Linked DNA regions of Arabidopsis thaliana. The protein of the gene in region 3 interacts with the protein of the main gene of each other region in a pairwise test. Each region holds a gene or a part of one and is shown on either strand. Other genes may lie near its edges. The genes, in order: HB-12, MYB49 and TMAC2.

Region 1 (3,470 bases), about 23 Mb from region 3:
AAAGAGACGTTGAAAACTTCAATTCCCAAAATACCCCCATATTATACAGAACAGAACCATAAGAGAAACATTGGTTTGCTTTGATTTCTCAAGGAAGAAGGGATGATCCAGGGGCTACCGTTGCTACAAGATTAAGGACACTATAAAGACTTGACTTAGAGCCATTCTTTTACATTCTGTTGAGAGTCTGGTTACAAAGCACATGTCCCACATGACATCAATCATAGGAAGATTATCATGACTCGATTGTTCCTTATAAACTGGAAAGACAAACACCAAAAGGAACTAGTTCTGCATCTACAAGAAGTTGTTCCATATCTGCCAATCCAGCTACAAATATCTCATAGGAAGGGAGTGACAGAGTAACCTGAGCTGATGAACCGGAATGTGATCAAAACTGATATTTGGTGATAAAATTCATAGACAATTCATCTCGAGGATATTGAAAGCATTATAGCAGAGCACCAATATAGAGATAAATGCACTTAGTTTCAAATTTAGGTCAATTTTTAGTCCGTTTCGAGATCATTATGGACGAAGACTCTTGTACTTGTGATCATTACGCTTGGTCCAACACTCTTAGAGCCAACTTGCAATCACAAATTTAACCTTGGTGACTTCAAAACTTTTCTAGTCTCATTATAAGCTACTAATTAGCTACAAAGAGTATTGAACATAGTAGATACATAGATCGAAACAAGATTTAAACTAAACTAAATTTATTTTTCTTAACACATAATTTACAAACTATTCACACTCTTTCTCTTCGCTTATGTTCTGTTTTTTTCTTATATGCTTTTATGACCAAAACTCCCACCAGTTAGGGTAATTGCTGCTAGATTGGTCTAAGAGAGAATCAGAATTGAAACCTCCCCAATTCTCAGAAGATGTCAAGCAACTATCATCAGCTTTCTCCACAATGTTCATCAGCTCATGATCAGTCTCTTCCTCGAACCCAAAATACTCTGTTTTAATGTTGTTGTTGTAATCACCATCATTACATAGAACACTCCCTTGGTCTAACCTCCCTTCTGGCTCACTCTTTCCATTATGCGACTCTGTGCTGCTGCTTAGAGCCAGTCCTTGATCACCACAACACTCATGATGCTTTTCTTCTTTAGGCCTTTGCATCTCTTCGTTTAGTCTCTGCAGCTGCAAATAGAGATTGATTAATATCAAATTAGGCAAAATGATCGAGAATTTACATCCCCCAAAAACCAATAAATGCCAAGACTGTATTTGCTATTTTATACTTTATAAAAAAAAAAGATCATTATCAATTATTGTTTCTATCACTGTTCAATTAAAGATAAAGATATCGATAGAATCATTATGTACCTCAGAGACCAGAGATTGCTTTTCTTTCTTCATGATTTCAAATTGTGAAGCCAAATTGTTGTAATTGGCTCTAAGAGTGTTATACTCTTTCTCAAGTTGCTTAGTTTTCCATCGAGCCCTCTTGTTTTGAAACCATATAGCCACTTGTCTTGGTTGCAGCCCTAGCTCTCTAGCTACCTGAACCTTCTTCCTCGGCTCAAGCCTCGTCTCAGACTCAAATATAAGCTCAAGTGACTTGATCTGTTCCTCGCTAAACCTCTTTTGGTTATTGCTCTTCTTCATCTTCTTCTTATTCATGGTCATGCCACTACTAATCTCGCTGAAACAGCAGTTGAAAAAATCTCCTTCTTCCATGGTTTTCACCAGATCTTGTAAGTTTCTTGATTTTGATTAAGAGAGAAGGTTTTGGAATTATTTGTTTCTTTTTTTTCTTTCTTTCTGGAATCTCTGAGTTGCTGATATTGGCCGCTTATATATAATGTGGGAGTTACTATGTGTGCTTGTGTAGGGCCTCGGATTTCTATTATTTTTTATATTTGGAAATTTCATTATTCAACCAAGACAAAATAAACTCATTGAATAAAAAGACCTGCAAATATTGTGGAACCACGGGCTAAAAATATACGTCCAAAATTTGTGGCTCGACACGAATTGGCTCATGTCTCTTTCAGTTTAAGTCGTATTTCATTTAGATGTGAACTAATCATCTAACTACTGATAATATTTTCATACTTTTTTTCCTTTATAATATAAGTATTATCAGCTTTTATATGTTTCATGGAAGTGATCAAGTGAATGATAACGTGGGTTGACAATCAAACGGGCGAACTGGCTTTGGTTACATCAATTAATCACCATACATATTTTACTTTTTAACAGTTTGGCCGTTCCTAAGAAAAATGAAGCAGTTTATAATGAAACAAAAAAAAAAACTCGATTATTTTGCTTTTCTTGCATATAAAAGGCATTTTTGAAAATAGAATTTAGCAGCAGCCTAGATGATCGTTGTACTATGTTTTAACATGCAACAACGTATATCATCATTTAACATGTGACTGCCAAGGCCTTGCGATACTTTTATTAGTCAAGATAATATTGATAGATAATCATTACGAAAGAGAGAGAAAGACGGATCGTATTAAGCAATAATTTTATTCGATTGTGTAACGAGATTCCACGTTCACATATCAGGATGTTTGACGGGTGTTAATTAGTGTGTTATAATTAAGATTAAAATAATCTCCATTTTCATTTGAGATTTCATTTGTCGTTACTCGCACGCCATACTTTAGAGGTCGGTTACGTGAAACACGTTTTAACGAGACTTTTCATTAGTGTATTATATACTATGTTCTAAAATAAACCTACTCTTGATTTATCTCGCTAAATTCCAAAAGAAGATTAATCATGGTTAAAATTGTGGCCGCATGTGGTAAGCTGGCAAATAATTTTGCAACTCTTCAATTCATTGCCCAAGAAAAATAAAAAATAAAAAATAAATTAAGATATATTTGCATATCACATACCGTACTATAGTTTACGCGATGTTTTACGCGTTTAATTTCGTTACACGGAAACAATAAGATGATCACGAGTAAGGATTATAGATTTATTGACTTCCATGCAAATGTTTAAAGTTTTAAACTCAATTATGAGATTTCTTGACTTTCTTGTAACTAAACAAGTAATCTGACCTAATTACTATCCTCTTGGTTTCCTTTTCAACATGCCGTTTTAGTTTTCTTCTAAAAAGTATACACAATCCAGAAAAGAAATATAAACCAGTGGTGTTCCTATTATTTATTTGACCTTTTTCCATTTTTCTAAAACCAATAGTACTAAATATAATATGAAATCTAAAAAGATTATTATACCTCTATTAATAAGCTAACTATTATGGATAGAAGTATCTTGTCTAAAATATATGCATTAAACATACAAAATAACAGTTTACATAAACAGAAATAAATTAAAATTCTACAACAATTACTTATTAGAAAACGAAGTCAGTGTAGTATGTTTTTTTTTAGACACGAAGTTAATATGTTTATTCTTACAAAATTACACAAGTTCCGTTCCGTCTTAGGCTCTGAAACACTAATTATCTTAACCATGGGATTTTGAAAGTTTGT
Region 2 (4,523 bases), on a different chromosome or scaffold from region 3:
TTAATCTTTCATACACATTTTCTCATAGTGGATAACTATTTAAATCTTCCTTTTAGGTGTATTACTATTTATTTGTGCTGATTTCAAACCAATCATAAGGGAAAACAAGTCGATTATTTCTTTTTTCTTGTATTATGAAATTGAAAACTCCCCTTTATGAGTCTATGACCAATTAAATATAATCACTATTGTCTCCTGCTCCACCAAATGTGTTCTTAATCATCAAAATCAAGATGGTGCAAATAGAATAATAAAACTATAACACCAGAAAATTTTCGTACAAGTTGAAGACCTTTTAGGTATAACGAATGGAAAGTTCTTCGAATTGGAAAATAAGAACAATTAGTGGAAGAAAATGCACAAGAAATCCAAGATTAAGAATACACTTAACTCTTAAAATACTAAGTATGTACGTAACACACTTATCAACCATCTTATGACCTTTTGAGAGTCGACTAATGTAAAGTTCTTCGAAGCAGAAAAAACAATTAGTAGAAGAACAAAGTCAAGATAAAGGTACACTAGCTGTTATCCTCTTAGGTTTTATAACTTTTTTAAGTGTAAACAAATAGAAACCTTTTCGGATCAAAAAAAGTAGAACAAAAAAAAAAAAAAGAGTCAACATAATAATAGACTAAGCTCTTATATTACAAAGTATGTAACACAATTACAAACCCCCATTAAAAAAAAGTAAAAATAAAACAAATAAGATCAAGAAGCAAAATAAATAAGACATTATGATAGATTCAAAGCATTATTATTATGATCATGATGATGATGAAACATCAACATGTCGCTACCAAAACTCTCTCTATCATCTTCGCTTCCACCATTGACATAAAAAGTCGAAGACGAATTCAACGGTGTCGAGCTGCTCGATGAAGTTCCCGCTAGCATTGATGAACTGAAATTCCATCCGGCCTTAAAATTCTCACCATCATTAATGTGGTCGGATACAAATGCGGCTGATGAGTAGTTTCCGGCTTGAGGGACTTTGTTATTAGATGGATCACCTGTACCGGTATAACTGTGATAATCTCCCAAGTATTCTCCATTGTTTTGCCATTGAACGGGTGGTGTTGAGTTGAGCAAACCGGTGAAAGTGGTTTGGTCAGTGTTTAGGTCGTTTTGAAGCTGTTGGTTTGGTTGGTATGATTCGGTCTGAACGTTGTTGAGAGAGGCAGTGAGATGATTCAAGATATCAGGATTAATATTTGAAGTAGTGAGATCAAATGGAGTATTCATCGGTTGTGACATAGATTTAAACAATGATGAGGTAAGAAACGAAGAGAGCTGGAGAAGATTAATGCGGGGACAATGAGTCACCGGATCAATCCCCATTCGTAAGAGTTTCTTTTTAATATGTGTGTTCCAATAGTTTTTGATTTCATTATCTGTTCTTCCTGGTAAGTGAATAGCAATTGCGGACCATCTATAGAAGAAAAAATATCGTGTTATAGATTTTAAGTTAAAATCAAAAAGAGAAGTATAAGTTTTAACTTGTTAAGATATTAGCTGCAGCGAGTTGAAGATTGCATGCTTAGCTTTAGACATTTGACCTTGGTATAGTGCTTAACTATGTTCTTGTCTTTTAGTTGAATAAAATAAAATATGCAAGTAATATTATAACAAAAATGTAAAGACATGGAAGTCCAATGAAGTAGGTGTAGTAGTGGAAAACTAGGTCATTTTTTACTTAATTTAATCATACATGTAAACAATTATACACTAAATGAAGAAATGAAAAATTGCAGATAGACTAACTTGTTTCCAAGAAGACGATGAAGTTGAATGATGGTTTCTTCCTCTTGAAGAGAGAACTCTCCTCTCTTGATATCGGGTCTTAGATAATTCGTCCATCGCAATCTACAACTCTTCCCGCATCTTTTTAACCCTTTTAAGATTCACACCAAGAAAAACGAATAAGAACCATGATTGTTTTAATTTTAATTCTAACGTTGACATGATCTAGCATGATAATCATTATTAGTAAATTTTAAACATAAACGTAAAACAAAACGCAGGAAAACATATTGTAGCTGATAGGATTTAGCTATTTGTATATATACATGCGTTAGGGTAGGAATTTACCGGCGTTCTTGGGAAGGGTACGCCATTTGCCGGGACCGTGCGTTTGAATATAGCCTACGAGCTTCTCGTCTTCCTCCGGAGTCCATGGCCCTTTCTTCACTTCACTTTCCTCCGAGCTTGAAGATTTTCCCATCTTTTTCAAATGTTATATGTGAGAGAACTAGAGAGAGAAGCTAATAAGCTTTGAGAACTTGATTACAGAGAAAATTTGGTTTCTTCATGAATTATGATTTATGTATATACAAATATATATATGGTACATGCAAAGTCAAGTCAAGGAGATTTGGTACCGCCCTTCCATCATCTATCTAAATACGTGTCTTTTCTTGATGAAATACGGAGACAAAATGAAGTAGAAAAAAACTGCTTATTATGTTGACAAAACAAAAGAGTAATTTTTACTCTCTATCTTTAAAGTCCTTACTAACAAACAAAAAGCTCTGACCAAAGAAAAAAAGTAATAAACAAAAAGCATGAGACTAAACCATCTCTATTAACCCTAAAAATAATTAATATTGATGGAGTGAGAACACATGGCAGAATATGGGTGGTGTATGAGGACGTGTGATAGATATGTGAAGAAGGTTCCATTTGTTTTGGTCTCTTTGTCTCAAATCATCAAACAGTTTTCAAGATAGCTATGTTGCGTGTATGTTTAATGTTTACTCATCTGTCATCACTATAGCAATATCATATACATAAATAGACAGATTCAAAATAAGAATTTTATTGAATAAGGTGTGGTTACAGTGATTATACTGAATAAATATGCTTATTTAGCCTTCTAAGTTTTGTATACAAATAATTTCTCTTCTAAGGAGAAAATAAAAAGGAAATATGTAAAGAATGATTACGATAGTGTAAAAAAGTAAAAACAATAAAAATCCAAACGGATCTCCAGTGTGCTTCATCGGTTGGAAATAGATATATATCATCGTGTCATCAAATTTCAGTAGCAAAGCTAGATTGTCCTGCTTGAATTAAGACATCCGATCGAAGTGACTCAGTTTGAGTAACGTCCTGCATCGCACCAGAGTTTCTGTTTACTTCAATAACAATTACATAACGACAAGTTTGAATAACTGATAATCTAAGACATGTATTTTGTTTTTACTAAGTTAGGTAAATTAACGACAAAGCGTTGTTGCAGTGCAACATACGTAAAGAACAAGGCATGTTAACGGTCAAAATACATGTGTGATTAATGAAACAATACTATATAATATACATGTGTCATTGAATTGCAGAGACTTTGGTCTCAGTCCGAAACATGGTTGATTTGACAAGTCAGGGATTTGAAATTTTTTGATTTGATATTTGTAAGAAATTATTACTATTTTAGTTAAATTTGGTTAGTATAAGTTTTAGATTATTTGGAAAACAAGTTATCGGCCGGTTTAAGAGTGATTATATAGAAAGGTTTGGTATTAGAGAAGAATGATAAAGTGACTTTTTAAATTAGGAGAATGACCAATTTATCATTGTTTAGTGCATAGGCGTATTTGACAAGTAACCCCTTGCTCTTGTTACATGTTAAATATTATTGTGTCATATAAAGAGGTAAAATTAATTCTACACTTTATGCGGTATAGCCGTATAAAACATGTTAGGTTGATAATAAACAAGTTATCATAACGTTTTCAACAAGTGCCAAAAATATAAACTTACACTAACACTAAACCGTATATATCGTTTTTTTTAATATAATATTATTTCTATAACATCGATATATCTAGTAAATAGTTATTTTGCGTCCATATAATTCATATTTTTCGTTATATAACAATGAAATGAGTGTTTTTCCACGGTATAGAATATTTTACATGTAAACTTTAAATCATATCATTGTCTCACAGGGAATTGATTCATGAAGGTAAATTTTGTGATGCATGTTTTAAAAATAAAAGACTGCTTTATCAAAAAAAAAAGTAGACCCTTTAACAAAGAAAAAAAGATCCTGCCAAAAATGAATAATGATAATTAGTTATTAAGACGACAAGAAAATTCAGATAATGTGGTCAAATATTTAATTTCTCAACTAAAAGGAAATACAATACATTGTTATTGGTAGATTATGTTATTGCCTGGTTTATCTACAACAATCCCAACAACCCAATCGTCTTAGTAACATTAAAATAATCGCTGTCACAGGAAATTTTGATGAACTCAAGCCTCGTTTCAGATTTATCAGTTTTCTTATAACTTTGCATCTACCAATTATGCAAGTCTTTTCATAAACTAATCTATCGATTATGTAAGTCTTTTCATAAACTAATCTATCGATTATGCAAGTCTTTTCATAAACTAATCTATCGATTATTTAAGTCTTCCGCATGTAAATTCGTTAATCAGCTACCATCTTCATTTTAGTTTGGTATAAGAAGTTATTTATACTGTATGATCTAAATTACATTTAAATATTAAGGGTTATT
Region 3 (4,119 bases):
AGCCCAATATTAACTTAGAAGACCGACAATGCTATCAGTATAATCCCCATAAGAAAGCAATTCCACCCATTTGGGTTTGAATGGTACATCATTGGGTCTTGATTCATGATTGTCGATCTTCTTCGGTAGTGGTCTGGCTTGCTTTGGTTGAGTTGGCATCTTCATCCTTCTTGAAAGACAGCGATGTGAAAGGTTCTTCTATGTATCTAGTATCAAATAGAGCGACTCTCGCTACTACATGCTACTTCCATGAATAGTTAACGCCAAGCGTATTGCTCGATAATAAAGACGAGTATATCCATCCATTGGCTCAACATTTGTGAAACATCCGTTCGTTGAGGCTAACGGTTTCATTTGAAGAATGGAAATTAGAGCTTATAGCCATTAGTGTGTTACGAAAGATCACCGTTATCAATCATATATAGCCCCCTTCTTGGCTCACTTATCGCATTAGTTACAAAGCAGTCCTGACGATCCACAATTAGACTTAGAGAGAAAACTTAGTTCTCTTACCATGGTTTTGCTCCCTGCTTCCTTTGCAAAGGTTGTCTTTTCTCATTATCTTCTGAGCTCACTCGTAGTGATATATCTGTTGCCTGTTGGTAGTCTTGGCTTTGCATTTGTCTCTCTTCAGTTTTGAACTCTGTTTCCTCTCCCTTCGATATCAATGAATCTTTAATTTCTAACGTTAAAAAATAAAACATCCGTTTAGCTAAGATTGATTCAACATTCTTAACCAAAATCAAATCAAGTGGATCTGTAATAACTTTGGATATAAAATGTACATGCTTCAGCTAGTTTAGTCGGTCAAATTAGTTTGACATCGTTACATTTTGAAAGTTAGGGAAAACAAAAAATGAGAGCTCTAATAATAGTTGGGGATAAATAATAATCCCTAGATAGAAGAAGAAGGAAGTTTAACAACAATATGTCTAAGAGGGTTAATCATAACATCACCACCATCATCATCGCTGACGGTACCTCCGCCGTGCCTAACAAATTCCGCCGGAGAAAGAAAACTGCCGTGGCAAACACAAACTATCTTGACCTCCTCCTTGTTCCCTCCGTACCAGTAAAGAAACCCTTCCACTCGTTTCCCGTCGGCTCCGACATCTCTCGTCGACACACAAGGCATGTCTTCAAGAATGTTCCTCGCCTTCTCCATTCCTGAATTTTCCACATTATTCTTCTGCTTCTTCGCCGTATTTCCATTTTTACCCTTCCCGTTGACCGGACCAGTGACAACCAACCGATCTTTTTCTTTCTTTCCCTCCTTGGTCGGAGGAATCTTAAATTCCAGAAATGCCCTCGGCTTCTCTGTTTCGACGGCTTGGCCTCTGTTTTTATCTTTTGTTAGATATGCTCCTCTGTTTGTAACCGGAGATTCCATAAATGCCCTCGTCTTCTCTGACACCTTCCGCTCTTTCTCTATATCCATCTCCGTTACGACCGGCAGAGAACGCGTCCGATCCAGCTGAAACATGTCTGAGCCTCCACGGCCCACAATACGACGCATATCTCCGCCGTTACCGCCGCCGGATCTTTGTTCATCGAAGACGAAACCTTCCGGTATCGAAGAAGATCGACCCAGTTCAAAGTGCCTCCTTTTTCTCGATCTCGGATCCGTACCAAACTGTCCATTAAGCGAAAGACCTAACGTTAGCTCCACGTCTTTCTCATCCTCTTCTGCTTCATCTTCTCTCTTCTTCGCTTCTTGTTGATTCTCACCATGCTCAGAGTCTCGCTGACAAAAATGGTTGCTTGCGATGAAAAACTTCTGCAAGAGATTATTAGCAGAAAGATTGGGTACTTGAACGACGCCGTTTGGGATTCCCCTGCCTCTTATCATCTCCATAACCAAATATCAAAGTCAGAGAAATTCGAAAGAGAAGGGAGAAACGTTTTTGGCTTAACTTTCTATTTTCAATCTTGAGAGAGACGAAACAATTTTGTCTTAAAACAAGCACCAAATGCTTACTATTATAAACTATAGTACTTCAATTTGCATATTTTATATTTTTCAGGGAAAAAAAAAGAAAATCATGTTTTTGAATTATATTACAAGCATAGTTGACGATGTAGTACGGATTTTAAAACTTTACTTTAGTATATTTTCACACAAGTTGGCTTAAAATAGACATAATTTCCAGTTAATATACCAATTTGCATTAGTATAATCAATGAAAATAGATAGTGATTTCTCGTTGACAGACACAAAATATAGGGAATTATTCGGATTATCTTCTTGAAAACATTTTAATATTGATTTATGATTTTTTATAGGAAAAGATAGACGACCACCCACCACGCCACGTGGAAAAGGGCATCAAGTGGCGTAGACGTAGGCTACTTTGTTCATATACAACTCGACACGTGTCTAATAATCAACGTGCTCAACTACGACAGTCCCTTTATTGCCACGTGTATCCAGCCTGACTGGGCCCCCGACACGGCAAACCAAAGAAATACGTTAGACATTTTTTTTATCTAAACATTTCTACGCGCCTTTTCTTGTGGCCTAATTAACTTCAAGTTCTAACAACAATACTAATAAGAGTTCAATATTGGTTATTAAGAATGTGCTAGTTTCTAATCCTTTGTGGTAATTTCATTTCGGTAAATTGTTGTTACATAATTTTTTGAAATTCATGCAGCAGAATAATAGTAATAATAAGGTGGAGAGGAAAGAATGAATGAATGGGAGGATCTCCTAAAGAGACGCAAACAATCAAAGAGGAGATCGAGAAGTGGGACACGCATAGTGGCCAACTTGTACTATTTCTTTCTTTTTTTGTATGTTTGAAGAAATGTTTTGTTTCAAATCTATTTTACCCTAAAAAGGTGATAAGATTAGTGACACGTTTCGCTTCTAGAATACACCACGTACCACTTTATTCATTGCTTCACGACAACATGTAGCCAAGTTGCTGTGTGACATGATCACATTTAAGGATTTAGTCAACCGGGCTTCAGTTTTGTGGTTTACCTATTTTTGCTTCTATAACTAAACTTACAAAAACTTCTCTACAAAAGAGCTACAGAAAGCATCTGAACTTTGATCCATTGGGCTTTTCTTTCATCACAGTTGGCCCATACACATTTCTTTTGTTGGCCCAAGATTGTGATCCAGGATAGTAATACTAAATTAAATTCACATAGCTTTTAAAATTTATAAACAAAGATATGGTTGTAAAAAGTAATGTTTTGCTTACTGCCTATGGGGCCATCTAACACATATGTGTTGGGTTACCATCTCTAGTAGTATCTACCATATGGACTGAGCATAGGGATTGGTGTTTGGGATAGGAACAGTGCATAATAAAGGTGTAGTGTATAAGACAACAGATAGACTGATAGAGTAGTAAATTTTGTATCTCTGATTTTTCTAGTTATTGTAAGTCTTGTTCAAATTTTTACATTTTTCATATTTTAACGTGTCACTTTCCCCAAAGAAAGAAATACCAACAATTGCACTAAACTCCAATTCTATAGATATCGTACGCATGCATTTGCTGCCCAACAGTTTTTATATAGAAATCTTAATAAATTTATTTATGATTCATATTGCAGTTAATTAGTGTTGTGTATTCAACCATGTTATAATTTCTGGAAGTGAAAATTTTGCTGGGCTGTTTCTGCTTTGTTGGGTATTGAAATGATAAGAGTAATTAAAAATGTAACTATTGGGGATAATACAAGAGACGGTTAAATTGAGAGAGAAAAAGTGATAGGAAAATTAGGGGGACCATCGAGTGAATAACTCTCTTTCTCTTCTGTTTTCTTCAGTTTCTCTCTCGAGATGCCCAACCTCTTCACTCTTCATCTAGTACTCTTTAGCGAGTATATATAACAATCACATAATAAATACTTACTCTAAGTCTTAAATTTTATATATAGTTACTTTGTTTACATATAACGGACGTTCCTAGCTGTATAATTCACAATTAATAACTTACACACTAAAAAGTTGAACCTACGAAATTTTCTTAACGTAAATTTTAAAATCATTTGGCTAATTAACTAGTATATCAGATAAACTTACACATTTTCTAATGGAAATTAAATATTCTTAGTAACGCATAGTCATACTTGCGCGTTCTTCTTAATTAGTCTTTCAGA

Evidence for each region.
Region 1: the proteins of TMAC2 (region 3) and HB-12 interact in a two-hybrid assay, tested with the Arabidopsis thaliana proteins (one large-scale study listed by BioGRID).
Region 2: the proteins of TMAC2 (region 3) and MYB49 interact in a two-hybrid assay, tested with the Arabidopsis thaliana proteins (one large-scale study listed by BioGRID).

What each region holds. Positions count from the first base shown.
Region 1 is NC_003074.8:22,913,548-22,917,017, forward strand, and holds HB-12 (homeobox 12), read right to left. Parts: upstream 1,847-3,470; 5' UTR 1,693-1,846; coding exon 1,339-1,692; intron 1,153-1,338; coding exon 799-1,152; 3' UTR 607-798; downstream 1-606. UniProt on the Arabidopsis thaliana protein: Probable transcription activator that may act as growth regulators in response to water deficit.
Region 2 is NC_003076.8:22,015,622-22,020,144, forward strand, and holds MYB49 (myb domain protein 49), read right to left. Parts: upstream 2,441-4,523; 5' UTR 2,225-2,440; coding exon 2,092-2,224; intron 1,895-2,091; coding exon 1,765-1,894; intron 1,433-1,764; coding exon 736-1,432; 3' UTR 522-735; downstream 1-521.
Region 3 is NC_003074.8:384,583-388,701, forward strand, and holds TMAC2 (AFP2 (ABI five-binding protein 2) family protein), read right to left. Parts: upstream 2,470-4,119; 5' UTR 1,856-2,469; coding exon 896-1,855; 3' UTR 655-895; downstream 1-654. UniProt on the Arabidopsis thaliana protein: Acts as a negative regulator of abscisic acid (ABA) and salinity responses.